Linked DNA regions of Pelodiscus sinensis. The protein of the gene in region 2 binds, or shares a complex with, the protein of the main gene of each other region. Links are inferred from orthologs where the notes say so. Each region holds a gene or a part of one and is shown on either strand. Other genes may lie near its edges. The genes, in order: contactin-4, PTPRG and CNTN6.

Region 1 (8,068 bases), about 12 Mb from region 2:
TACAGGATGGTGGACATTTCAACGGTCATGATAAAAAGTGCTGCCCCGTATTATTACTTCAAGTCATGGAAAAGAAGACTAGAGGCTACTAGCTGTAACTTGTCTCATAGCACAAGGTTTGGAGGCACTAAATGGTTGCACATAACTCCAGCAGTAAAGAATTTCATATCTCAATAGCACATGACTGGAGTTGTCATGCAAGTTCATGATTAAGGCACTCAAGTGTTATTTTACTGCTCAATTTCCCTACGCCATGGCAAAGCTCCCTGGACTTCCTCTTGTTAAGGAAAAAGCAATTTAACTTCCATTCATGATCCAAGAAAAGCTTAAGCTTCAGGAAAATGAAAGCAGCTACAATGGAGCCCTTAAATTAAACTGTAAGAGAGATTTCCAAATTCTTCAGTTCTAGTCATCAGAGTTCCTCTGAATACATTCAAAACAAAGAGCTCTTCAAGAAATCTGGGCATTTTAGGTATGATTTCACTTAAGCATGATCTTCAAACAACCTATGGTGTAAATGGGCACCATTTTCAAACATGCACATTTTTTGAGCACATGTACAACTATTTATAAATGTCATACATTTAGAGCTTCACCCCTACTCTCCCTCCCTCAACAGTTCACTGACACAAAGCCTGTTGAAGTTAATCAAAGTCTTTTTCCATTGACTTCAGTGGTGTTTGGATCATGACTTTAATTTGTCTTTGGTGTGCACACAGAAGCTATGAAGATAAATACACTGTAGTGTATTCTGCACTGGAAGCCATTGCCTAAAAGAATCAGGAGTTTGGGGAAAATTAGCAGCATACATTCCTCTAAAGGAGGAAGTAGGGAACCTAATAGAACTAGGAGGGGGGAGTAATCTTTGAAAAATAAGAAGTTATAACAGCAGATGAAGGAGTGGGGGGACTTTAAGAGATTATTGAGAAGTCATTTATGCAGGATCAGTAACTGGCAAATGCAATTTAATAACACAAAAACTTTGATGAGCCTAGACAGAGAAGACAAAGTTTCCTGCAGAGAAAAACAGCAAACGCACCAGGAATTTTTTCTCCCCTGCATTCTCCCACCACCAATCTAGCACCTGATTTTGCATATTAGTTTTGAGTTCTACACAGAGAAAGAGATGCTAGGAAGAATTACTGATAACTAGAGACATGAGTGGGTTATTTCAGGTGGAAAACTACCCTTGTTAAACATGCTCTGATCTTATGCCCCATGGCATTCCCAGCAGTTGAAACAGTTATTTTTAAAAAATAACTATTTAATAATGGATTTCCAAAATAGCAGGACTGTTTTAATAGGAAGCCTGCATCAACTTCTACTGCATGCAACTCCGGTGACTTATCTGTTAGCATATAAAAATCATGAACCATAGATTTTTAAAATGAGGGCAGATACAAAAGATGAAAGAGGGGAAAATAATCGTACATGCATACATGTGGCTGGCATCTCTTTAATATTTTACCTTCATTCATCTGCTAAGGGGCGGAAAAAAACAAATACATGGCCACAGACAAAAGCCTCCTTTTATCTCCTCCTGCAGAAATCTGCTTCCATTTATTCCAAAAGGTGACCTAACATTAGTATGTAAGATCCAAACTAATTCCACTTGTTATGCAAGCAACATCGTGTAATTTGTAGGTTAGGGAGCAAGGCACGCTTCTCGGGGATAAATAAAACAACATGCTGCATTATGTTACTCCTCACACGGAGAGCTAACATCAGCCCTCGGAAAGGAAGAGCTGCCAAACCCCCTAAGCATCAAGAAACACTCGTTTGCAACACGCGAAAGTTCTGCATAGGTTTGTACTAGGTAGCGACACGGCAAGCCCCTCCACCCCCCGGCACACACGCTCGGCTTGGTCCTTTCCTCGCCGAGCTGCACTCAGCATCTCCAGCATCTCCCAAGGACACTGGCTTGATCGATCTCTGTCAGGCGTGTCGGTCGGGGCTTGCGAAGCACAGGAGAGCCATCCCCTTGCACCAGGCTCCTCTCCTAGGCGCCTGGGCTTCGCCATGCTGCAGGGATCTCGCGCCCCTTGGTTCTTTGGCTCCAAGGGGGCAGCCGCGACCAGCGCTCCCCCAGGTTGAAGTTCGCAGGAGGAGCGAACGCGGTTCCCTTCGGGGCTGAATCACACGAACGGCTCCGTCGCCGCGACCCACTGCCGAGCGCCTGGCGGGGAGGCACGATGCGGCGCGGAAGCCAGCCCGCCCGGGTGCCGCTGGCTGGGCTCGGTGGCCAAGGGGCTGCCCAGATAGCCGCTGTCTAGCAAAGCGGAGCGGGAAATCGGGAGTTCTCCGGGTGAGCCCTCCGTGTGGAACGGAGCAGTCTGGCTGGGGCGGTGGGAATCAGCCGGGAAGGGAGGGGAGCCGATGCCCTGGGTCTCTTTCCCAAGCCCCTTTGCCACCACGCAACTTCAGCCCCTGGAGTTCTGCTGCCTCCCCAGTGCTCGCTGCCGGGGTCCCGCAGGATCCAGCACTGGCCGATCCCCTCTCTGCGCGTCGCCCCCCCCCCGTAACAAACCTGCTCCTTGGCAAAGTCTCCGAATCGCCGGACCCTCCGCCAGCGCAGGGACCGCCCGGGGAGCGGCTGCTGCGGGCGCTGCTACGCCCGGTGCACTGGGGCCCTTTGCACAAGGGCGAGTCCTGGCCCCGGCGGTGGCGGGCTGGGGGCGGGGGCAGGGCTGTCCGACAACAAACAAACTTAGTTCCTCGCTTGCAGCCGGAGCGGGCTGGGGCAGCAGGGGCCAAGCCGGCAGCTCCCCCCCCCCCCCGGCAGGTCTGGTCCATCTGACCCCCCCCCCCCCCCCCACTACTTCTCCCCGCCTTTTCTCCGCGCCAGCAGCAGCCTGGGTGATCCGCGGCGCCCCGCTCCAGTCCCCGCCCGGGCTTACCTTCGAGCAGGCTGCGAGCTGCGGTCCGATCCCCCCGCCCCCCGGCCGGGCGATCAGCGGCGGCGGCTGCAGCGGAGACGCGGGCTCTGTGCAGCGGCGCAGCCGAGGCGTCCTTTGCCCGAGCGCTGCCTCCCCGCTCTGCCGCGCAGCCCGCAGGGCTGTTCTTACACCGAGCAGCCCTTGGCCGCGGCGTTGAACGTCAGAGATTGGGGAGCCCTGTGAGCGCCGCGCAAACCCCACCCCCCAAACCTGAGCCGGGGCCGCCCGCCCGTGGGGGAGGAGAGAACGAAAGACCAGGCGTGTGTGCCAACTACCCGCGCCTCCGGCGTGGACCCCGGTCCGCCAGCCCTGCGTGGGGAGCCCGGGACCCTGGCTGGATCCCCCTTCAGCCGGCTCTCTGCAGGGGGCAGGTTCGCGTGGCTCCCGCTGACCGTGGTTCCATTACACCCCCCTGCAGGGGTGACAGCTTTGCTGCAGGCAAGAGTCAGTCCGCTCGCCTTTGCTTTCGAGGGGGTCACCGCTCCCTGATCCTGACGGACGTGACAATAACCTCTGGAGACACCCCCTCCCAGATTCGGATCCCGTTCGGCAGTGTGCTGCCCTAAAGAGCATACAGTGTAAACGCGCAGGCAAAGCGGAGAAAGAGGACCGGAGCGAGAAAGTGGTTTAGGGTATGTTTACAGAGCAAAAAACCAAAACCAAAATAAAACCAAAAAACCCTACATCCAACTGGAGAACCTGGGTCTAGAGACTCCGGCGCACGCGAAAAATAGTCAGGTAGCGGTAGGGGCTTGGGCTGGCTTTAGAGCGCTGAAACTCATCCCTGGACAGGCTTAAGAGCCAGACCAGAGCATCCACAGAGCTCCAGTTAGCACGGCAGGGCAAGCTGGAATCTGTAGACCCAGGCTCTGAGAATGGCTTGTAGCAGGGTTTGGTTTCTCACTGTAGACATATAGTCAAAGCCACATAGTTCAGTGGCACTAGATGCATGTGCTCCTGGTCCCCAGGCTGATGCTTTATCCACTGGCCTAAGCTTAGGCTTGGAAGAGTTCGATATTCATCAGTAAATGTCAATTTCAACACTCTTTTTCTTTCTCTCCCCATTCCCTCCGTAACAAGTAAAATTTATAGATAGGCAAAGTAAGAAAAATGTTGTTTGAGAACTTATTATACTTTGCTTGGTGTATTTTGAAATGTGATGTTGCCAATTTGTGTTACAATGGTTGTAAAGCTAACTCTTGGAATCTCAACCTGACATTATAATAATGATTGCCGGGCACACACACACTCTTAATTTCCCTTAAATGTTATCTTAATACAAATTTTTAAATATGCTTAAAATACAGTTAGGCACAACTGTGAACATGTAAACAGATAAAAAAAATCTTTTCAAATATTTAAAAATGAACTTAGATATTATCATTGGATTTAAAAAAAAATCAAATTCTTCTAAGTCTATGTTTCCACCCTATTAAAAAAAACCCTCCAAAACCTTCTCTATTTACTTTAACTCAGAGAAGATGTACCTTGAAAATCCTTAAAGTTTACCCAAAGGAAATGCCCAACAGCCATCTATTTAGTGAAAGGAGGTAGAGCAGGGGTAAGGAATCTTTTTTGGGTCAGGGTTCACTGAAAAACTAGTTTCAGGTCACCCACAAGTAAGAGTTTGTGTGCTCCAGCCCCACAGTGGAGTGGCAGGGGATCCCTGATCCTTGGGGACTAGATCCTGGCAAGCCAGGGTCTGCATCCAGCCCCCAGGCCTGAGCTTTTCCATCCCTGGGGTAGAGGATGAGGCCAACTGCCTCTCCCTCCGGGTATGTGTACACTACCCCCCTAGTTCGAACTAGGGGGGGTAATGTAGTCATACGGAGTTGCAAATGAAGCCTGGGATTTGAATTTCCCGGGCTTCATTTGCATAAAGCCGGCTGGCGCCATTTTTAAATTCCGGCTAGGTCGGACCCCGTGCCGCGTGGCTACACGCGGCACGGACTAGCTAGTTCGGATTAGGCTTCCTAATCCGAACTATCTGTACACCTTGTTCCACGAGGTGTACAGCTAGTTTGGATTAGGAAGCCTAATCCGAACTAGCTAGTCCGTGCCGCGTGTAGCCGCGCGGCACGGGGTCCGACCTAGCTGACATTTAAAAATGGCGCCGGCCGGTTTTATGCCAATGAAGCCCGGGAAATTTAAATCCCGGGCATCATTTGCAACTCTGTATGACTACATTACCCCCCCTAGTTCGAACTAGGGGGGGTAGTGTAGACATACCCTCCCTGACTTACCCTCCCTTCCCAAGACCTAATGATGGTGAGAGCATATGCAGGGAAGCAGGTCTTATGCATAGGACTGATGAGAAAACAACAATTCCATTTTGCAAACTGTTCTTTTCCTACATAGGAGCAAAAATGAGACATTTCAAAATTTTTCATGGAGAAAAAGAGAAAGCGCGAGAAAAAAAAACACCCTGAAATAGTCAATGTGATTTGGGGTACTTAGCAGGGAAGTGAGAGACTCACATTTAAGTCCCTGTTTTCATTGATTCAGAGCCCAAACTGACAAGCTCTTAATTCTTCTCTGTGTGTGTCTGTGTGAAACTGCACCCTGGACCAAAGAAGCCATCCCAGTGACATTTTCTTAGAACTAATACAGTTCAATGAAACACTTTGTTTGACATAAATGGGAGTTTTGGAAGGAAAAATGTCAAAACATTTTTCAACCCCCTTTGCCTATGAAGCCCACTTTTTGGGCTTAGTGGAAGTATAAGCAGTCACTTTTGGAGTCTAAGCAAATTTCAAGAGCTAGAAGGAATCCTCTTCACAAGGGTCCGAGGATGAAGCCCTAATAACCCTCTTACTGTTCTCCCTTCCCTCTGCTTTTTCACCTCTGAATGTTGGTGATGTCATTAGACTCTGACTTCTTAAATTACAATTGTGGACCTTTGATTTTACCTTTGGCCATTTGCTCTGCTCCCTGCCTCACATGCCTTGCCCACTTTGCTTCTCACCAGCTTTTCTTCTCCACTTTTCCATTCATCTTAAACTCCCTGGTCCTCTTCCTTTGTCCTTCCCACTCTCTTCCTCCTGTGAATTCATCCCTATTTTCCTGCCTTTTTCATCACCCTATCTGATCCCTCGTTGCATGCTTAAGAAAATCCCAAAATAAAATCAACTCAGATAAGAACCGGGCAAATTAGTCGAAACAATAGTAAAGAATAAAATTGTGAAGCATGTAGAAAAACATAATTTGTTGGACAAAAGTCAACATGGATTCTGTAAAGGGAAATCCTGTCTTACTAATGTATTAGAGTTCTTTGAAGGGGTTAACAAGCATGCGGATAAGGGGGATGCAGTAGATATAGTATACTTGGATTTTCAGAAAGCCTTTGACAAGGTCCCTCACCAAAGGCTCTTGTGTAAATTACATGGCCATGGGATAAGAGGGAAGGTCCTTTCTTGGATTGCGAACTGGTTAAAAGACAGGAAACAAAGGGTAGGAATAAATGGTAAATTTTCAGATTGGAGAGGGGTAACTAGTGGTGTACTCCAAGGGTCAGTCCTGGGACCAATCCTTTTCAACTTATTCATAAATGATCTGGAGAAAGGGGTAAGCAGTGAGGTAGTAAAGTTTGCGGATGATACCAATCTGTTTAGGATAGTCAAGACAGAAGCAGACTGTGAGGGACTCCAAGAAGATCTCACCAAACTCAGTGATGGGGCAGGAAAATGGCAAATGAAATTTAATGTGGGTAAGTGTAAAGTAATGCACATCGGGAAAAATAACCCCAACTATATGTACAGTATGATGGGGGCTAATTTGGCTACGACAAATCAGGAAAGGGATCTTGGAGTTATCGTGGACAGTTCTCTGAAAACTTCCATGCAGTGTGCAGCGGCGGTCAAAAAGGCAAATAGGTTGCTAGGAATTATTAGGAAAGGGATAGAAAATAAGACCCAGAATATCTTACTGCCCAGTATAAAACTATGGTATGCCCACATCTTGAATACTGTGTACAGTTGTGGTCTCCTCACCTCAAAAAAGATATTTTGGCCTTGGAAAGGGTTCAGAAAAGGGCAACTAAAATGATTAGGGATTTGGAGCGGGTCCCATATGAGGAGAGGTTAAAGCGACTGGGACTTTTCAGTTTAGAAAAGAGGAGACTGAGGGGGGATATGATAGAGGTCTATAAAATCATGAGTGGTGTGGAGAGGGCTGATAAAGAAAAGTTATTTATTAGTTCCCTAAATAGAAGAACTAGAGGACATCAAATGAAATTAATGGGTAGCAGGTTTAAAATGAATAAAAGAAAGTTCTTCTTCACACAGCGTGTAGTCAACCTGTGGAACTCCTTGCCAGAGGAGGCTGTGAAGGCTAGGATTATAATAGAGTTTAAAGAGAAGCTAGATAATTTCATGGAGGTTAGGTCCATAAAAGGCTATTAGCCAGGGGATAAAATGGTGTCCTTGGCCTCTGTTTTTCAGAGGCTGGAGAGAGATGGCAGGAGACAAATCGCTTGATCATTGTCTTTGGTCCACCCTCTCTGGGGCACCTGGTGCAGGCCACTGTCGGTAGACAGGATACTGGGCTAGAAGGACCTTTGGTCTGACCCAGTACGGCCGTTCTTATGTTCTTATGTTATGTTCTTATGTAAGAAGCATAGGACATATACATTTTCCATCACTGTGATTGTTCTGCAGATATAATGTATCCGTCTCTACTGCTCCAGCCCCTTTTTTTCCTATGTAGCTTTAGCTCTTTGGAGCAATAACCTCTCTCTCTTCCTATGTCAGTAGGTCACCTGATACCGTGAAGATTTCAGTCCTGATTAGAGTCTCTAGCTCTGGAGTTCTGAAATTTTTTTGCACCACAACTTCCTTCTGGGAACAAAAATTAATTACCCCAGGATGGGAGACCAAAATCTAAACCCACCTGAGTCCCCTTGGCTGAGGATCCAAAGCCAGAGGTTGAGGACTTTGGGCTTCAACCCGAGGCAGGGGGCCTGTGGCTGGGCTCTGCCACCCAGGGCCGAAGACACTGGGCTTTGGTCCCTGGGCCCAGCAGCTGTAATGCCAGGACAGGGGGTATTGCCCCCTGTGGCTGCCTGGGTAAGCAAAGAGGGGGACAGGACTTAAACCCATCAAATAGCATTCCCCAAGCAAATGCTCTATCCACTA
Region 2 (7,827 bases):
TGGCCTTCCTGGTTAATGCTAACTTGCCCAACAGTGTGACTGCTGTTGGATTTCATTATTGTACGTTTTCTTTCAATGAGGCCTAACATGGTAGCAGCATCTGAGAATTACATCCACAAAAGCCAAGTAGCTTGCTTTCCAAGAAAAGCCTCCGTGATGAACAGCATCTGTAAATATTATATAGCTATTTCACAGATATGTATGTTGTTAAGTCATTTAGCTACACATGGTACATGAACACGGGCATGCAATGGAGCATATATCCACATCAACCTATAATGAAAATATGATCTAGCTTGAACTCCATTGATATAAAATTACTCTTACAATATTGTCATATTAAACCTACATCAGAGCTTGTTTTCCTGAATTGTTCTTAGAACCTGCTTTCTAGATGTAATTACTGCATATTATACATCAGACTCAGAAAGAAAGGCCTCTCAGAGCTGAAATAGAGAAGAAATCAATACAAGAAAGATAAATGTTTTTCCTCAAGAGCTGCAAAATTTCAAATAGATGGAGGTTTTAACTCTCACTCTGGCTTATTTTATTTTTGCTTGAAGTCATTTTATTATCTGATAAGTTACTGAAGTGATTGGAATATACAGTCCAGTTGCCCTGTATGTATTTAAAATGAGAACTGAAAGTTACTAGAAAGCTTCCAGAAAACTCTGAATGTATCCTGTAAGTTGCCTACAATACAAGTTACATCAGAAGGTTTGTGTTACAGCTTTCCATGAAGACATAGGCTGACTTTAAAAAAAACTAATAAAAATTAACAGAAAAAGCATGCAGCTAGAGCCTGCAAGACATGAAAATTGGCTCTTTCTGCAATAAGCTACTGAAGTAGGTTTTTAAAATATAGCTCCAGACTTTTGAAAGTCAGTGAAGTCCAAACCACTACTATTTAAATAAAACAAACCACATCTGGCTGAAAATACTGTAGCTACGCAAGTCATAATATTTGAAGCAAAAGAAGTTTAAAAAAAAAAAAAGATAGCCGTGTGCATGTGATAGCACTTCGTGCAGAATCCATTTCCTTGTTTCCAGCTACTTCCCCACAATAAAGATTGTCCTAAGACAGGAATGGGGAAAACTGGAAACCCCTTAGATATTTCTAGAGCAACGTGCAGGAAGAAATACAGCTACAGCTGACATTCTCAGGGTGCTCTAAGAAACCGGCTTCACATAGGTGCAGTTAGCAACGCCCCTTTAAAACCTCAAGGGGCACAGATATATTGTGGCAGGAGTGGGTGTTGTAACCCTTGGCCAGAGAAACTGGGCAGCCTGAGACCTTGCTCTCAGCTGCCTCTGGGCACCCTGAGTGGCTGCTGCAAGCCAGCAGATGCGCAGGCCAGTGGCCGTTGCCACACCCACTCCAGACAGAGCCACGCTCCGGAGAAGTTCCCAGGAGTGACACGTCCATTCCGGAGCGTGCGCGGGGGGCTCTGTGGGGAGGCGCGGGACGCAGCCCGGCTCAGCTGCGCCTCTGGGGGCAGAGCCGCGCCACTGCAGCTTTGAAAATGGCAAAGCAGCCTCCTGCAAAGGCTCCCTGACATTTTAACTTTCCTTAGCTCTGGGCTCCATTCACACGCGCCCGGCTCCGTTCGCCACGCGCCTCGGCAGCAGCGGGGGGCTTTTGCCTGGGACCCCAGCGAGCCTGGCAGCTGTTCAGGCAACATCTGGGTGGGGGGATCCCAGCCCCATGGGGGGGCAGCCCCGCGCCCCTGAAGGCTGTAGCCCGACTCCCTCCCCGCCGGGGGAAGTTTCCGCATCGGGCTCCGCTCTCGCCCCCTCCTCTGCCCGGCTCGGAACAGAGCAGCCGCCCGGCTCTGCCCGCACCTCGCCCCGCCGGAGCCCGGGCAGGCTCCGACCTTTGTCCCGCCGGCCCCAGACCGCATCCCCGGCCGCCACCAAGGTCAAGGGGACGGCGGCGGAGCGCAGCCGAGCGGCGCAGGTGGGAGGCCCCGGGAGCGGCGGGGCACCCCTGAGGCTGGGGGCGCGGGGCAGCAGGGAGCCTCCCCGGGGCGCCCCGGCAGGGCCCGCTGGAGCCAAGGGCGCCCCGCGCTCCCCCGCTGCTGCAGCGGGCTGGGCGGACTCACGCCCCGGGCTGCCCGGCTCGGCTCCGCGCTCCGCCGGGGCAGCACTGCGCCAAGCCGAGCGCGCCGGAGGGAGGCACCGGGCGCCCCGGGGTAGGCGCCGGGGAGTGCGCGGTGGGGCGGGCGAAGCCCAGCAGGGGAGGCGGCCGGGGGCAGGGGAGGCGGCCCCCATCACACACACGGGGGGGGGGGCAGGTTCCCGCAGCCGGTCCCGCTCCCCGCGCGGGGGGGGGGGGGGAGTTGGGCTAAGTGCGGGGGGGGGAACCAGCCCCAGCCGCCTCGCCAGACAAAGCCCGGGCAGGGCGCAGACCGGCCCCCAAACACCCCCCCCCCAGAGTGGGGCTCGCCCGCCCGGGGCTCGCGTGAGCTGCCCCCCACCAACCCCCCCGGGCGCGGGCAGGCCGGCGCGGCGCGGCTCACCGGGGAAGCACACCACGTAGTGGAGCACGGCGCTGGCGAGTTGCAAGCCCACGATCCACCCGCACGGTCGCAGTAGCCTCCGCATGTCCAAAGGCGCGCATCGAAAGGGGCGCGGGGCGGGAACTTGTTGACAATCCAAGTTGCGCCCCGCGGGGCGCGGACACCCCGGGGCCCCCGCCGCCGCCCTGGCGGGGGGATGCAGCCGGCGCAGGGGGTCCCGCAAGCGCCAGGCCGGGAGCCGCGGAGCTGGGGGGCGGGGGAAGGGGGCTCCGGGCAGCCCGCTCACAACTTCAGTCCCCGGCGAGCGGCGGGAGGAGAAGCGCCTCGGCGGGGCTGGGGCTCCTCATGCAGGCAGCGCCTGGCCGGGCCACGCCATGGCTGCAGCGGAGCGCGGGGGCTGGCGGCGGGCGGGCGCTCAGTCCATGCCCCGGGAAGTTGGGGCTCCGCGGCGGGCTGGGCGGCGGCGGGCGGGCGGCAGCGGGGCGCGCTCCATTCTGCCCTGCACAGGAAGTGCCATGTGAGCCCGGCGCCTGGCTCACACTTTAAAGCGGAGAGAGGCAGAGAGGAGGCGGGGGCGCGCGGGGAGAAGGGGAGTCGGGTGGTTGTGCGCGCCCCCGGGGCTCTTAAAGGGGCCGTGCTCACATTTTTTTCTCCTTCCCCCCCCCCCCTTTTTTTTTTATTTCCTCTTCCCCCCTCCCTTTGCCGCTCCCGCTGATGGGAACCCTGGAGGAGTTGGCCGGGGAAACTAAGGGGTTAGTGAGCGGGCCGTGTGTGTGTGTGTGTGTGTGTGTGTGTGTGTGTACTCACACCTAAGCACCTCTGGGGGGGTGCACACACGTGTGTCTCCCTGCACACACGCTCTTGCGCACTGTGCAGCTTGTGTCTCACGCCGCGCACACTCGCCTGCAAACCCCTTTCGATACACACACACACACACACACACACACACACACACTCTTTTCCCTCCGAAGGGGGCGAAAACCGGCGCGGTCCTTCCAGTCCCTTTGCAAATCAGACCTGCTGCTGCATATTTTTTCAATTTCCTGACAGCAGGGGGGGTTTAAAGCAATATCGATCTATTTGGCAGGAGCCGGGCTAACTAGCGAGCCACCACAGCAGACAGCAGGACGGATGGGCTGCCGTGTTAATCGGATCCAGAACAATCCTGCGACGAAGGGCTGGCGGCGGGCGGTGCATGTGTTAAGGATCCCCGGTCCCTGCTGCCCGGAGCAGCGTGGGGTTAAAAGGAGCCGCGGGGAGGATCAACGCCCGGAGGCCGGGCAGATACTTGGGAGCGATTTCCTTTTTAGCCCTTTCCTTTAAATAACAAAACAATCCGAGGGAAATGGGAGCGCGGCTTATCTGTAATGAGTTCGGTCCCTTCCTTTCCGCTGCGAGATGGTATCACGTTGGAGCGAGCAGCTCAGTATTTTGCCTTTCTACTGCTTCTAACTAGGGCCGGCTTGGTTTTGATTAAATGTGTAATTGAGTCCAGATCATTTGCCATTTGCAATTTAAAATTCTTCACTCTTATCTAAATTGTATCTGTTTGAAGTTATTTATGTTATGACGCCGCCCTCTGTATACACTGAGCGTCCTGCTAGCTCCGGGAGGGAGTCTTCTATCATTCCTTTGGGGATGGCCAGAGACCTCACACCAAATAAAAGAAGCACAGAAGAGACCCCAAAGGTCCATCTAGCCCAGTGTCCTGTCTTCCCACAGTGGCCAGTGCCAGGTGCCCCAGGGGGAGGGAACAGAACCGGGAATCATCAAGTGACCCATCTCCTGTCACCTATTCCCAGCCTCTGACAAACGGAGACTAGGGACAGCTTTCCTAAGCACCCTGGTTAATAAGCATCAATGGACCTAACCTCCATAAATGGAGCTAGGTCTTTTTTTGACTGTCCTAGCATAGGCTTTTTAACCAAGACAAATATTTCTTTAAATGCTACTTTCAAAATAGACTTGACACCTACTCCAGCAATAGACAGGGAAGGAACTTTACAGGCATGGGAAACACACACTGCGGAAGTGTTAGAAGAATGTTTAAGTGGGGGGGATGTTGTAGGTGGTTCTGGGGTTCCTAATACGACTTCAAGCCAGGGGGTGCGGCAGTCCCCCCAGCACTTCTAGCTCCAGCCCTGCTGAGTCAGTGGGCTGAACCGAGAAGGAATTATCTTGAGTATTAACTTGAGCTCGGCTGGCTTTGGTACCTTCTGTCGGCACTTGAATGTCATTCCGATACAGTTTTTGTCTGATATTCAAAAAATACCTTATTACAGGATTTGTTTTTCTCCAGTCAAAGAAGAGCTACAAATCACATGACGTACTGGGACTGGAATGGGGCACTGCTGCTTTTGTTATTTGCTGGCATTGGCTTACCCCTATGGACGTGCAGTGCCTTTCACCTAGGAGTCCTTTTCAAACCCTAGTTTTATATGGGGGAGGGCGGATGAAAGGGAAGAAGGAACAAAGCAAAGGAGGATGTTACTTACCCAAGCAGTTAATGAAGCTGAAGTTGTGTATTTTAATTTGACTTTGTCCTGTAGTGTAGCCGTACCCTAGGGGCCTGGAATGCAGCAAACCCCTCTTCCAATCCTCCCCGCTGCACACCCGGAAACAGCCCTGCACTGCCATGGGAAGGAGACTGAGCCCCGAGCCATCAGGCTCACGTGCAGCAGGTCGGATGCAGAACAGGGTGGCTATAACAAGGTTCAAAAAAGAGCCAAAGTGGGCAGGGATGGTGTCCCTAGCCTCTGTGTGGCAGAAGCTGGGAATGGGTGACAGGGAAGGGATCACTGGATGATTCCCTGTTCTGTTCACTCCCTCTGGAGCACCTGGTACTGGCTACTGTGGGAAGAGAGGACACTGAGCTGGATGGATCTTTGGTCTGACCCAGTCTGGCCGTTCTGACGTTCTTATGTAGTATAGCCTGGAAGGCCCCAAATTCAGGAGACACAAAGATACCTTAAGTCTGCCTTTGCCCTCTCTCCCTTTCCTCACTCTAGGTTGTGCCTGCCATGTAGTACAGCTCAGAATTAGGGGCTGATCCTGCATTCCTTGCACGCTCAAAACAGCCATTGAGGTCATGAACATTTTGGGTACACAAGGAATCTCAATTCAAGGCCCTTGCAGAGTGACTAACCCACAACCAAAACAAAAGACCCAAAGGCCTGAAGAAATGGACAAACACCGTAGGCACTTGAACAATTCTCAAAGTACATCATTTTTGTCTGCATGATATTACTTTCTTTCGGGTAGCTTGAAAATAAGGAAGGTAAAACTATGAAAACTGTATCCATTTTCTCTTCCTGTGCAAATGAGGATGTGGGGGAGGAGGAGGGGACTCACACCTGTTTTGACCTTAGGGATTATGAACAGATATTCAACTAGTCTGCTCCTATTGGTTTGCTCCAGAAAACCTGAGCAACATTCTCACTTCGAGCCTCATATCCCTGACCTAGCCAGAGTGATAGGCAAAACAGGTGCTCTTACTTTAACAAGGGCTAACTCTGTAAAATTACAGCAGACTGGTGTGCAAAACCAGGCCTGTAAGTGGAAGTTCAACAGGTGACGCTATTTGAGAAAAGCAATTAAAAAGCAATTGCATTCTCATAAGGGCAGAACAAAGTAACTGTGGGGTTTTTTTAATGCAATTTGCATTAATTATTCTCACTGATGCAAAATCATTAATGAACGTTACTGGGACCACAGTGTTTTATTTTAAAATATTGATCATTTTACATTAGCCTATGTCTGTCTAGACTTGTAAGTTAAAATCCTGAAACTAACTCCACATCTTGAACTTGGAGTTTTGATTTATACGTTCCCATCCTTAGAACAAACACACACAACTGAGATACAAGTAGGTAAGCGTTCGGCATTGGCGCCGGCATTCAGACAGCAAATTATCCCATATATCTTCGTAAGGCATATTTTGTAAACAGCTGTGCCCCATTAAAAGAAATGGAGGAGGTCAGACTAGAAGATCCGAATGCTTCCTTCAGGGTCTTAACATCTATGAAAGATTTAGAAAACGAGAGAAAAGTAAAGGAGCTGAACTCTTGGTTCCACGTGCCAAAGGTACAGTGTACATAACAGTTTTCCTACAGCTGCCGATCAATCATTACATCATCATCTATCAAATAAAGACCTGTAGTGAGGGAAGCAACTTTCTTTTTCCATTAGCATTTGAGATGGGTAGGAGAATGGTACAGATGTATGACAGAGGCCCGGAGAATGGTATGCATCATTGTTAAACGTGCATCCATTTCCTGCAGCGTCTTTTTGCCGATGGCACATTGTCAAACAACAATAGCTAGGTAGGAATCTTTCCCTTGATAGTCCAAATAGAGAAAACTGCCGCGACAGCACGAAATGCTGGATTTAAACTGATGCCACGTTGCTGGGAGAAGTGTGCATTTAGGACAGTCGATTCGTTCCCATTGTTTAAAGTGACTACTGCCATTGGGTGTGATCACAGTAACTGCCACTGTGAGAAAAGAGGAGAGCGGACTTTAAGGGGAAATGATGCATGGAGGACTGGACTGATGTAGATTCTGCAAATCTTGCACTATTTACCATTAAATATAGTGGGCACTGGTCAAGGTGAAAGGAATAGGATCAGCATCTCTGTCTGGTTTGCATGGACGAGTGAATAATGTATGAAAACTTTTATCATCTTGTTTGAACAGGTAATATTTTCACCCTGCCTTCCTTGACATATGGGCATCACTCCTGGGAAAGGAATGACAGTCTGTTAATTTATTTGATCAGACAAGGGAAATAATAGAAAACTGAAACCAAGACTCACATTTGTCATATATTTGAATTAGCGAAAAGCTGAAGAAAGCAGAAAAATATTGCACGCCGTTCAAATACGAGAAGGATTATTGAATTGGAAGAATATTAATAACATTCATCATTTCCAAACCAGGCTTGTTAATCTGTATAATGACTGTACAAAGAACTGAGGGAGGGAGGGAGAATAAAAACGGGGCTGGCAGGGAATTAAATCTGCATGTAGCCACTTCCATTTTGGAACATTTGAAAACAAAAGGCGACTTCTTTCGCTGGTGCAAAGCAGGATAGCACCGATGGATTTCCACTCACTGATGTGGCTCAGATAGAGAGAGCAAGAGCCCGTCACCATGATGTACCTTAGAGGCTACAATTCAGATTACAAGGAGTCATGTGTGTTATAAGATTGCAGATGAATTCAGCAGCCTTTATTTCTGACCGGTATTGCAAAGGAAGGAACGGAGAAGTGCTGAAGTTGGAGTTTCATGGATTATTTTATCAGAACAGC
Region 3 (7,548 bases), about 11 Mb from region 2:
CTTGTGTTCAATATTGGTCCTACAAGTAGCTGTGCAAAGTGTGTCTCTGAGGACACAAAGCCTCAGTAAACTAACTGCTTGATCTTTAACCTCTAAAACCAAGGGATCTTATTTCTCAATGAATTAAGTTATTCTGGAAGAATGCTTCACCAGGGTAGAGTGCCAAAATTCCTGTATTAAACAGATAAAACCATTTAACACTATCCATACAGTCATAGTCCTTACTAGTTGTTGAATTGCTTTAATTGTATCTGATTGTGATGTAGCTTTTCTGGCCAACAGACAGAAGAAAAAAAATCATTTATATTTTTCCTTTAAGTTTGACTCCTGATAACATGTGGCCAGTATTTGGTACACTAATCTAGGATTGAGAGAGTCTCCTATGTAATATCCTTGCTCTCCACTGCTGAAGCATATTGAATTCTTGTTTGTCCATCTTAATATTATTTGTCTGGCAAAGACAATTTCCTCTGCGTTTCTGAGAGCTATGTTGTACTTCTGAAAGAAATCCATCTACTTTTGGCCTAGCACCATACAATAATGTTAACTCCTACTCAGTTTGGAGATATGTATCTTTGCAGTTTGCCTCAGATTTATTCTCACCTTCAAGTTCTTTGGCTAAATACAGGTTTGTGTTTCTATTCCACTACTTGGCAAAGTTTTCCTTCTCTGCATTGGTGGATGTTACTTCAAACACCAGCTCTGTATATGGAATGTATCTCTGTTAGTAATCCTAGCTAATACCATTGATCATGTGATTCATAAAATAAATGTGTAAAAACAACATTGCAACAGCAGCCTGGCAGAGAATGGTTTTCCTTTCCTTCTTTCAAGTGAAAAGAGACAGTCCTTCCTGCAGGCCACCCTTCTCTTCTATTCTACTCTTCCAAAGCTCCTTTTCATATTTTGTAGCTCCCTCCTTTTCCTACCCTTGCAATCCAGGCTGTGAAAAAAGTAATATTCCTAGAAACCTTCAGGAAATCCTGTGAATAGGGTATGAATATTTTTTTTATTTTTTTCTACAGGGTCCCTTTCAATGGATACATCTTCCTCTTGGCAGTATAGTGTGCCTATGGCTGAAGGAACTGAGGAGTTTCCTTCAATCCATGCGGAGATGGAGTCTGTAATGAATACCATAATTGGAGGTGTTTTTGGCATATAGCCTTCAGCTTCCTCCTCATAGTCTCTCTTGGTACATTCCTTTTCCTCTTTTGAGCTCATCCTCTTCCATTCATTCCCCAGTTTCCTCCCAGTAACTTACCCTGCTTCTTTCTTCACTCACAGGGTGCGTCTACACAGCACCCTAAACTTGAAATAAGATATGCAATTTGCTCTATGGAAATTGTGCGTCTTATATCAATTCTATTTTGAAATACCTTATTTTTAAATTTGGCATGTCTACATAGTGCCAAATTTTGAAATAATACACTATTTTGAGACATCCCTTAACCTTCGTGAAATGAGGGATACAGGGATGCCAAAATAGCGCACCCGTTGTTTTGAAAAATATTTTGAAATAACAGGTGGCTTGTTAAGATGTGGAGTAGCTATTTCGGGATACCTCAGTATCCTGAAATAGCTACACAGAGTAGATGTACTCACAGTTTCCACAAACAAAATTCTAATATGGCTGCTCCACTATTTCTGCCTGACAGGGATTTTGTTTGGTCACAAAGCAAATTTCACCTACTAGCTTGGAATTCATTTCCCACGAACAAAAGGTTGCTCGCAGAAATATTTGAGAAAAGCAAATATAAAGGGTCAGACTATGATGAATTAAAATTTGGTTTTCATTTGCCCCGATCTCTAGAGACCAAATCTCTTTGCTTAAGAAATTAAAAGGAAAAATTACAAAACTCAGTACAAATGATAAAACCAAATGATCAGCTTTATGAAAAGAAAGTCTGTGAACTATCTCAACTTCTGATGTCTCCTTTGTATAACCTTTGTGACATGAGATTTGCTATGAGAAATGGAACAGGATTAATAATTAATACATTTACTGATGTCTGAAATAGCGACATAAGGTTGGCTTTAGATGTATGTTTTATTAATGAGTTTTGAAAACAATTGCTTTCTCACAGTAACAGGCAGTGCAGACCTTTAGAAAGGAGAAAAAAATGAGTGCATGTAAAATGTGTGGCTTCCTTCAAGTTTCCTTTGAGGGTACCAATAAAATTCAGTTACCATTCAAAAATGTGCAGAAGAAATAATAAAAGGGTTAGCATAATAATTCAGAAACTGGTTCAAATTGACATCTGTGACTGCATCCAACCCGGCTGAAATATGATACATTTCAGCACAGCACAACAATATCCTTTTACACAGTATATAAAGAAGAAGAGAATCTTCCTGTATATCTCTTAATGTAACAAAATGTCACTGAGGTAATTACTGGTGTGACATTTATGTGACACTGCTGGGCATCATTATGCAGAAGCAACCATAAAGCCTAGTCTTCTGCATTTTTTTAGCTTTTTTTTCTTTGCACGTGTGGCTAGGTATGGAAGAAGATAACTAATGAACATCACTCAGGCCAAAAAAAAACCCCACCCTCTTAAAAATTGTAATAGCTTTATTAAACAAAAGTAATTGCATTCATCTTTCTTGACCTTTCAGTCAGCAGTGGTAATTATTGTTCTCTGAGTGCTGTAAGGAATCGGAAGTCTGTTTTAGTTGTAAATATTTATAAGAAAATAGGATTTTTTAAATCTAAAATAGAAAAGCACTGCAGAGATAAATTCACCCCTTTCATTGTAGTCATTGTGATACTTTTAATGATCAAATAAATGACATGACACATACAAAATTAGTTAGAAAGTAATGCTTTCATAACTTACATGCAAACTGAAGCTTTGCTTTCCTGCTCAGAATTGTTCCAAATGAATTTGTGGCCAAACACTGGTATGTTCCAATATCCTGTTTTGTATGTGGGTTATTGATTGCCAAGCTGCCTTCAACCAACCTGTAGTGATAACTCATGGTAAGATCAATATCTGTACCATTTTGCTTCCACCTTTGAGGGGAAAAAAATCAAATTATGCTTATAATTTACAGCATCTATTCAGATTTATCAAATAGTGTGCTGTAGCATCCCTGTAACAAAAAAAGTGTATCAATCTTAATATTATCAATATTTCTTCGGTTTAAAAATCTTTGCTGCTTGTATGTTAGTCACCAGAGTTCAACCCATATCCACAAAAGGTAATTATAACTTATTTATAAAAAATTAAATTATTCATCCAATTGGGAGTACAGATACCTTGACTGCAGATGCATTATTTTTATAATATAAATGGTACCTGAAAGTGTTTTATTGCCTTTGCAAGTGATGTCATAAATTTGCTTATAGAAATGTTTTAGAGATATAAATCAGGAAAGGATTATACTTCAAAGAGCAGAAGAAAACAGCCAGGTTTTCTATAGCATGTCTGAGATTGATAATACAATAATAAGAATGGTGCTATTTTAAAACATGAGTTGTCACTATCAGTCTGTTAAGTAGAAAGATTGAGTCTGCAACATTTCACAGCTACTTCCAAATGTCAAAATAAACATAATATTTCATTGAAAATAAATATATATACAAGCAGTCCCCGGGTTACGTACAAGATAGGGACTGTAGGTTTGTTCTTAAGTTGAATTTGTATGTAAGTCGGAACTGGTACATATTGTAGGGGAAACTCTAGCCAAACATTTCTCCAGAGCTCAGTTTTATTCTCCCACACCTCACTTCCCTCAGTCCTTTATTCTCAAGCTGAGGTGTCTGCTGAGAAAAGCCGCTCCGTGTCTCCCTGGTCTGTGGGGGGCGGGGAGGCGCTAGCTTCGTGTCTCCCTGGTCTGTTGGGGGCAAGCAGCTAGTGCGGGGTTGCCTCACCCCGTTTGTAAGTAGGGATCCGATGTAAGTCAGATCCATGTAACCCGGGGACTGCCTGTATATATATATTTAATTTTTAAAAAGGAAGTGTCTCAGGGCTTTGCCATTATTCACATTAGAATGGAATTCACATAACTCAGTTAAAGCCCCAAAAAACTAGCATTCATATGGGCGAGGCCCTTCAGTAGGTGTTGTCCAAGCAGTGGTCTTGAATAATATCTAGAGCCTTATCCTTGCACTATACATAAGGGGTTTTTTTCCACACTAGTTCCACATGATCCTTATCATTTTTCACCTAATGCATTCCCCCATTCCACTCTATCTAAACACTGCACTGACATGTAGATGTGATGTGGACCCCTCTATGACCTGCAAGGGTATGTCTAGACTACATGGCTCCATCGACGGAGCCATGTAAACTACTTTACCTGACATAGTCAATGAAGCGGGGATTTCACAAAGCATAAGGGAGCGATTGATATAGGCTTCCCTTGTCTACCGATCTGCGTTTAGACTGCCGCTCTGTGCCGTATCAGCTGATTGTCGGCACAGAGCGGTGGCCATTCTTATTTTAATGAAGTAGGGATTATTTAAATCCACGCTTCATTGACTGTGTCGGGTAAACGAGTTTACATGGCTCCGTCGATGGAGCCATGTAGTCTAGACATACCCCAAAATATATAGAAATCTTGTGCATGGCTTAAGTGGCATGGATGCCTTCTGTAAGTTCTCTGCACCATGGGAATTTTGTTTAATTATCCATAGACTAACAGAGCAAAATATAGAGTACTAATTAGTTTCAGCAATAAGTGATGATAGTTTAGCTGAACTAGATACTATAGTCTAAAACTTGAAAGAGACTTTTGTACCTTCACCAATATCTTCTAAACTAAAACTGTTTCCCACAAATGTAAACACTGGTAGCTGATCTTCAGCCGTCATAAACTGGCATAGCTTCATTAAAATCAATAGGGCTATACATCTGAGGAACTGTCCCTGATATATATTGCAAAAAAATGTATATGAGCCAACCGCTGAGAGGAGTTTCTCCAAGAATTTGATTGTGCGGATTATTTGTGAGTAGGAGAAACTGCTTCAAAGAATCGTGTGAAATGTCATTGCACGCTCTAAGGAAAATCTTGACAAATATATACAGAGAAAGACAAGAAACATGACCTTGGAGAGGGATATATGCTTTTAAAGATGAGAAGTGATTGATCAAATATCAAATCAATTGAATTTTTGTGAACAAATTCTAGAAGCTTTAAATAATTTAGCTGGATCCTCCATATCTCTGACTTCTGTTTTATGAATGCTTTAGCATTAAGAAGTCTAGTGGCAACTGCAGAACAGCAATAGTTTGCTTGCCTCTAGTTACTGCTAATTTTGATCCCTGGATTCCTTTATCTTTTACATTTTTATCAGGACAAGCAGAGCTGTAGGCAATGGCCATCCATCAGCCTTCTATAAGAAGCAGTTCTCTATATCACAGTCAGTAGTTCTCCATATTTCATAATTTGTGTACTGTACATGCTCTCTGGACCTTGGTTCTCCTTTTAGTTTTCTAGCATAGGAAATAGTGGTATTTAGTTTGCCAGCTCTCTTTAATTTGAGAATCAATCACTGAAATAACTGCTGTCATCATTACATGGCTCCCAATTAAGCTCCATAATTGTTTTTCAACACAAATGCAAAGTTGTTGGCTTAGTTGCAGCAAATGAATTTTTCACACTATCCCCATAATCATTCTAATCACCATGGTACAATGATTATTAAACTGTGCATATAGATCAGGGGTTCAGCTCCTGGTGTGGGCTTTTTTCCTAATTAATATGTTTAAATCAATGAAGGAACAGAATTAATGAATCCATGTGATTGCCAGACAAGTGTTTAATCATAGCATGTGTGCCCTAGTGTATTTATCTGATATTAACTAATCCATGAAGGATTATTTCAAATCATTTTTAATATCTTTATATTAATCCCAGCTGATCTAATAGTTTTATGAACCTTTTTTGAATTCAATAATTTAAAATGTATATTTATCATTGCATGTCAAAAATACATCACTGACTGCTAATTTATCTTCAGAATAGAACCAAAAATATGCAAGTCACTGAGCTTAGTTTAAATATTTGCCTAGAGAGGAAATGTTCTCAAATAAGACTGATGAAAAAAAGACCTCTAGTGAAATAAATACTATACGGCTGTGTCTACACTGGGCCATTTATTCCAGAAAAGCAGCCACTTTTCCGGAATAACTTGCCAGCTGTCTACACTGGCTGCTTGCTTTTCTGGAAAAGCAATGACGATCTACTGTAAAATTGTCAGTGTTTTTCCGGAAAAACTATGCTGCTCCCGTTCGGGCAAAAGTCCTTTTCCGGAAAAACTGTTCTGGAAAAGGGCCAGTGTAGACAGCACAGTAGTCTTTTCCACAAAAAATCCCCGATCGAGAAAATGACAATCGGGGCTTTTTTCTGGAAAAGCGCGTCTACATTGGCCACGGACGCTTTTCCGGAAAAAGTGCTTTTCTGGAAAAGCATCCTGCCAAAGTAGACACGCTTTTTCCGGAAATACTTATAACGGAAAACTGTTCCGTTATAAGCATTTCCGGAAAAGGGTGCCAGTGTAGACGTAGCCCATGTGTTTTATAGATTCATAGAGTTTAAGGCTAGACAGGAAAAATAGGATCAACTATTCTGATTAGGAATGTTAAAACAGTTAACTGATTAAATGATAGCGCTTAACGGTTGCCCATTTTTACTTAGGTTCTGCCACCAAGACCTGTCGATGGGGGAGTGACAAAGAGTGCAAATGTCCCAGGGCCTGGTGATTCCAGAGGGTCTGCGGTTCCTGGCTGCTGTCACCATTACTGCCACAATGGAGGCACCCTGAGCCCTCTAAATTGCTGCTGGAACACCACACAGCATGCTCCAGGCAACTCTGGGAGGGAGGAGGTGGTATGGACAGTACTGAGGGCTGGCTGACCCAATCCCGTCCCTTTCCATCTGAAGCCCTTCCCCTTCTGGGAGCTTGGAGCCAGACTTTCCCCCACCTTTCACAGGGACCTGGCAAGACTGTCAGCCCCCATGCTGGCATCTAGCTCATCAACCAGGAAGCCTACTATTAAGTCTCAGTATGCTTTCCAGTTAATTTGTTAACATTCCTAATTCTGATCTCTTACATAACATGAAGAATAGACCAAATCCTCCATCAGGCCCAAAACATCTGGTTGAACTGGAACATATCTTTTTTAAAAGACCTGTAGTGATCATTGGGGCCTAGTGCAGCGACCCCAGCTATGATCCTAAATGCAAGGAAGTGAATAAAACAGTTGATAAAATAGCACAATAATCTGTAACAATAAATATTTATCAGGAAAGGGACACGGATTATTAGGCCAAATGCAAAAGGCCTACAGATATAATTCAAGATTTTGTAAAGATCATGCCCTGTTAAACAACAGAAATGTGGGACTGAAAATCGGTGGACCAAAACTGGTGTGTTAGAAATTAGGACTAACTGATGGACAAAATAATGAAAGGATAGGCTCCATTTCTACCCACCTCTGCCCTTTGGGAATTTTAAAAATGATACTCTCAGAGGAGAGGCGGATTGGTTATCATGGATGCTGGTTCACTGATAGCAGGGAGAATGGGAGGGTGCTAACA

What was found.
Region 1: the proteins of PTPRG (region 2) and contactin-4 are in contact, whole or in part, in a crystal structure (PDB 3KLD), measured with the Mus musculus proteins. The link is inferred for Pelodiscus sinensis from reciprocal best matches to the Homo sapiens genes PTPRG and CNTN4. Residues at the interface, in NP_033007.2 of Mus musculus: Lys222, Val225, His226, His227, Lys229, Phe288, Thr290, Gln293, Asp294, His295, Val296, Lys297, Ser298, Val299, Glu300, Tyr301; in NP_001103219.1 of Mus musculus: Thr128, Arg129, Ser130, Val132, Ser133, Arg135, Gln138, Gly139, Met140, Val141, Leu142, Leu143, Cys144, Gly145, Val219, Met220, Gly221, Glu222, Tyr223, Glu224, Pro225, Lys226, Glu228, Leu250, Asn304.
Region 3: the proteins of PTPRG (region 2) and CNTN6 are in contact, whole or in part, in a crystal structure (PDB 5E5U), measured with the Mus musculus proteins. The link is inferred for Pelodiscus sinensis from reciprocal best matches to the Homo sapiens genes PTPRG and CNTN6. Residues at the interface, in NP_033007.2 of Mus musculus: Val225, His226, His227, Lys229, Phe288, Thr290, Gln292, Gln293, Asp294, His295, Val296, Lys297, Ser298, Val299, Glu300, Tyr301; in NP_059079.2 of Mus musculus: Arg129, Val132, Arg135, Gln138, Gly139, Val140, Val141, Leu142, Leu143, Cys144, Gly145, Met222, Gly223, Tyr225, Glu226, Pro227, Lys228, Glu230, Leu252, Asn306.

What each region holds. Positions count from the first base shown.
Region 1 is NC_134721.1:14,214,508-14,222,575, reverse strand, and holds the start of contactin-4, read right to left. Parts: upstream 3,097-8,068; 5' UTR 2,898-3,096; intron 1-2,897. UniProt on the Homo sapiens protein: Contactins mediate cell surface interactions during nervous system development. Has some neurite outgrowth-promoting activity. May be involved in synaptogenesis.
Region 2 is NC_134721.1:2,585,104-2,592,930, reverse strand, and holds the start of PTPRG (receptor-type tyrosine-protein phosphatase gamma), read right to left. Parts: upstream 3,091-7,827; 5' UTR 2,605-3,090; coding exon 2,520-2,604; intron 2,193-2,519; exon of another isoform or gene 2,054-2,192; intron 1-2,053.
Region 3 is NC_134721.1:13,577,222-13,584,769, reverse strand, and holds the start of CNTN6 (contactin-6), read right to left. Parts: upstream 3,017-7,548; 5' UTR 2,983-3,016; coding exon 2,841-2,982; intron 1-2,840. UniProt on the Homo sapiens protein: Contactins mediate cell surface interactions during nervous system development. Participates in oligodendrocytes generation by acting as a ligand of NOTCH1.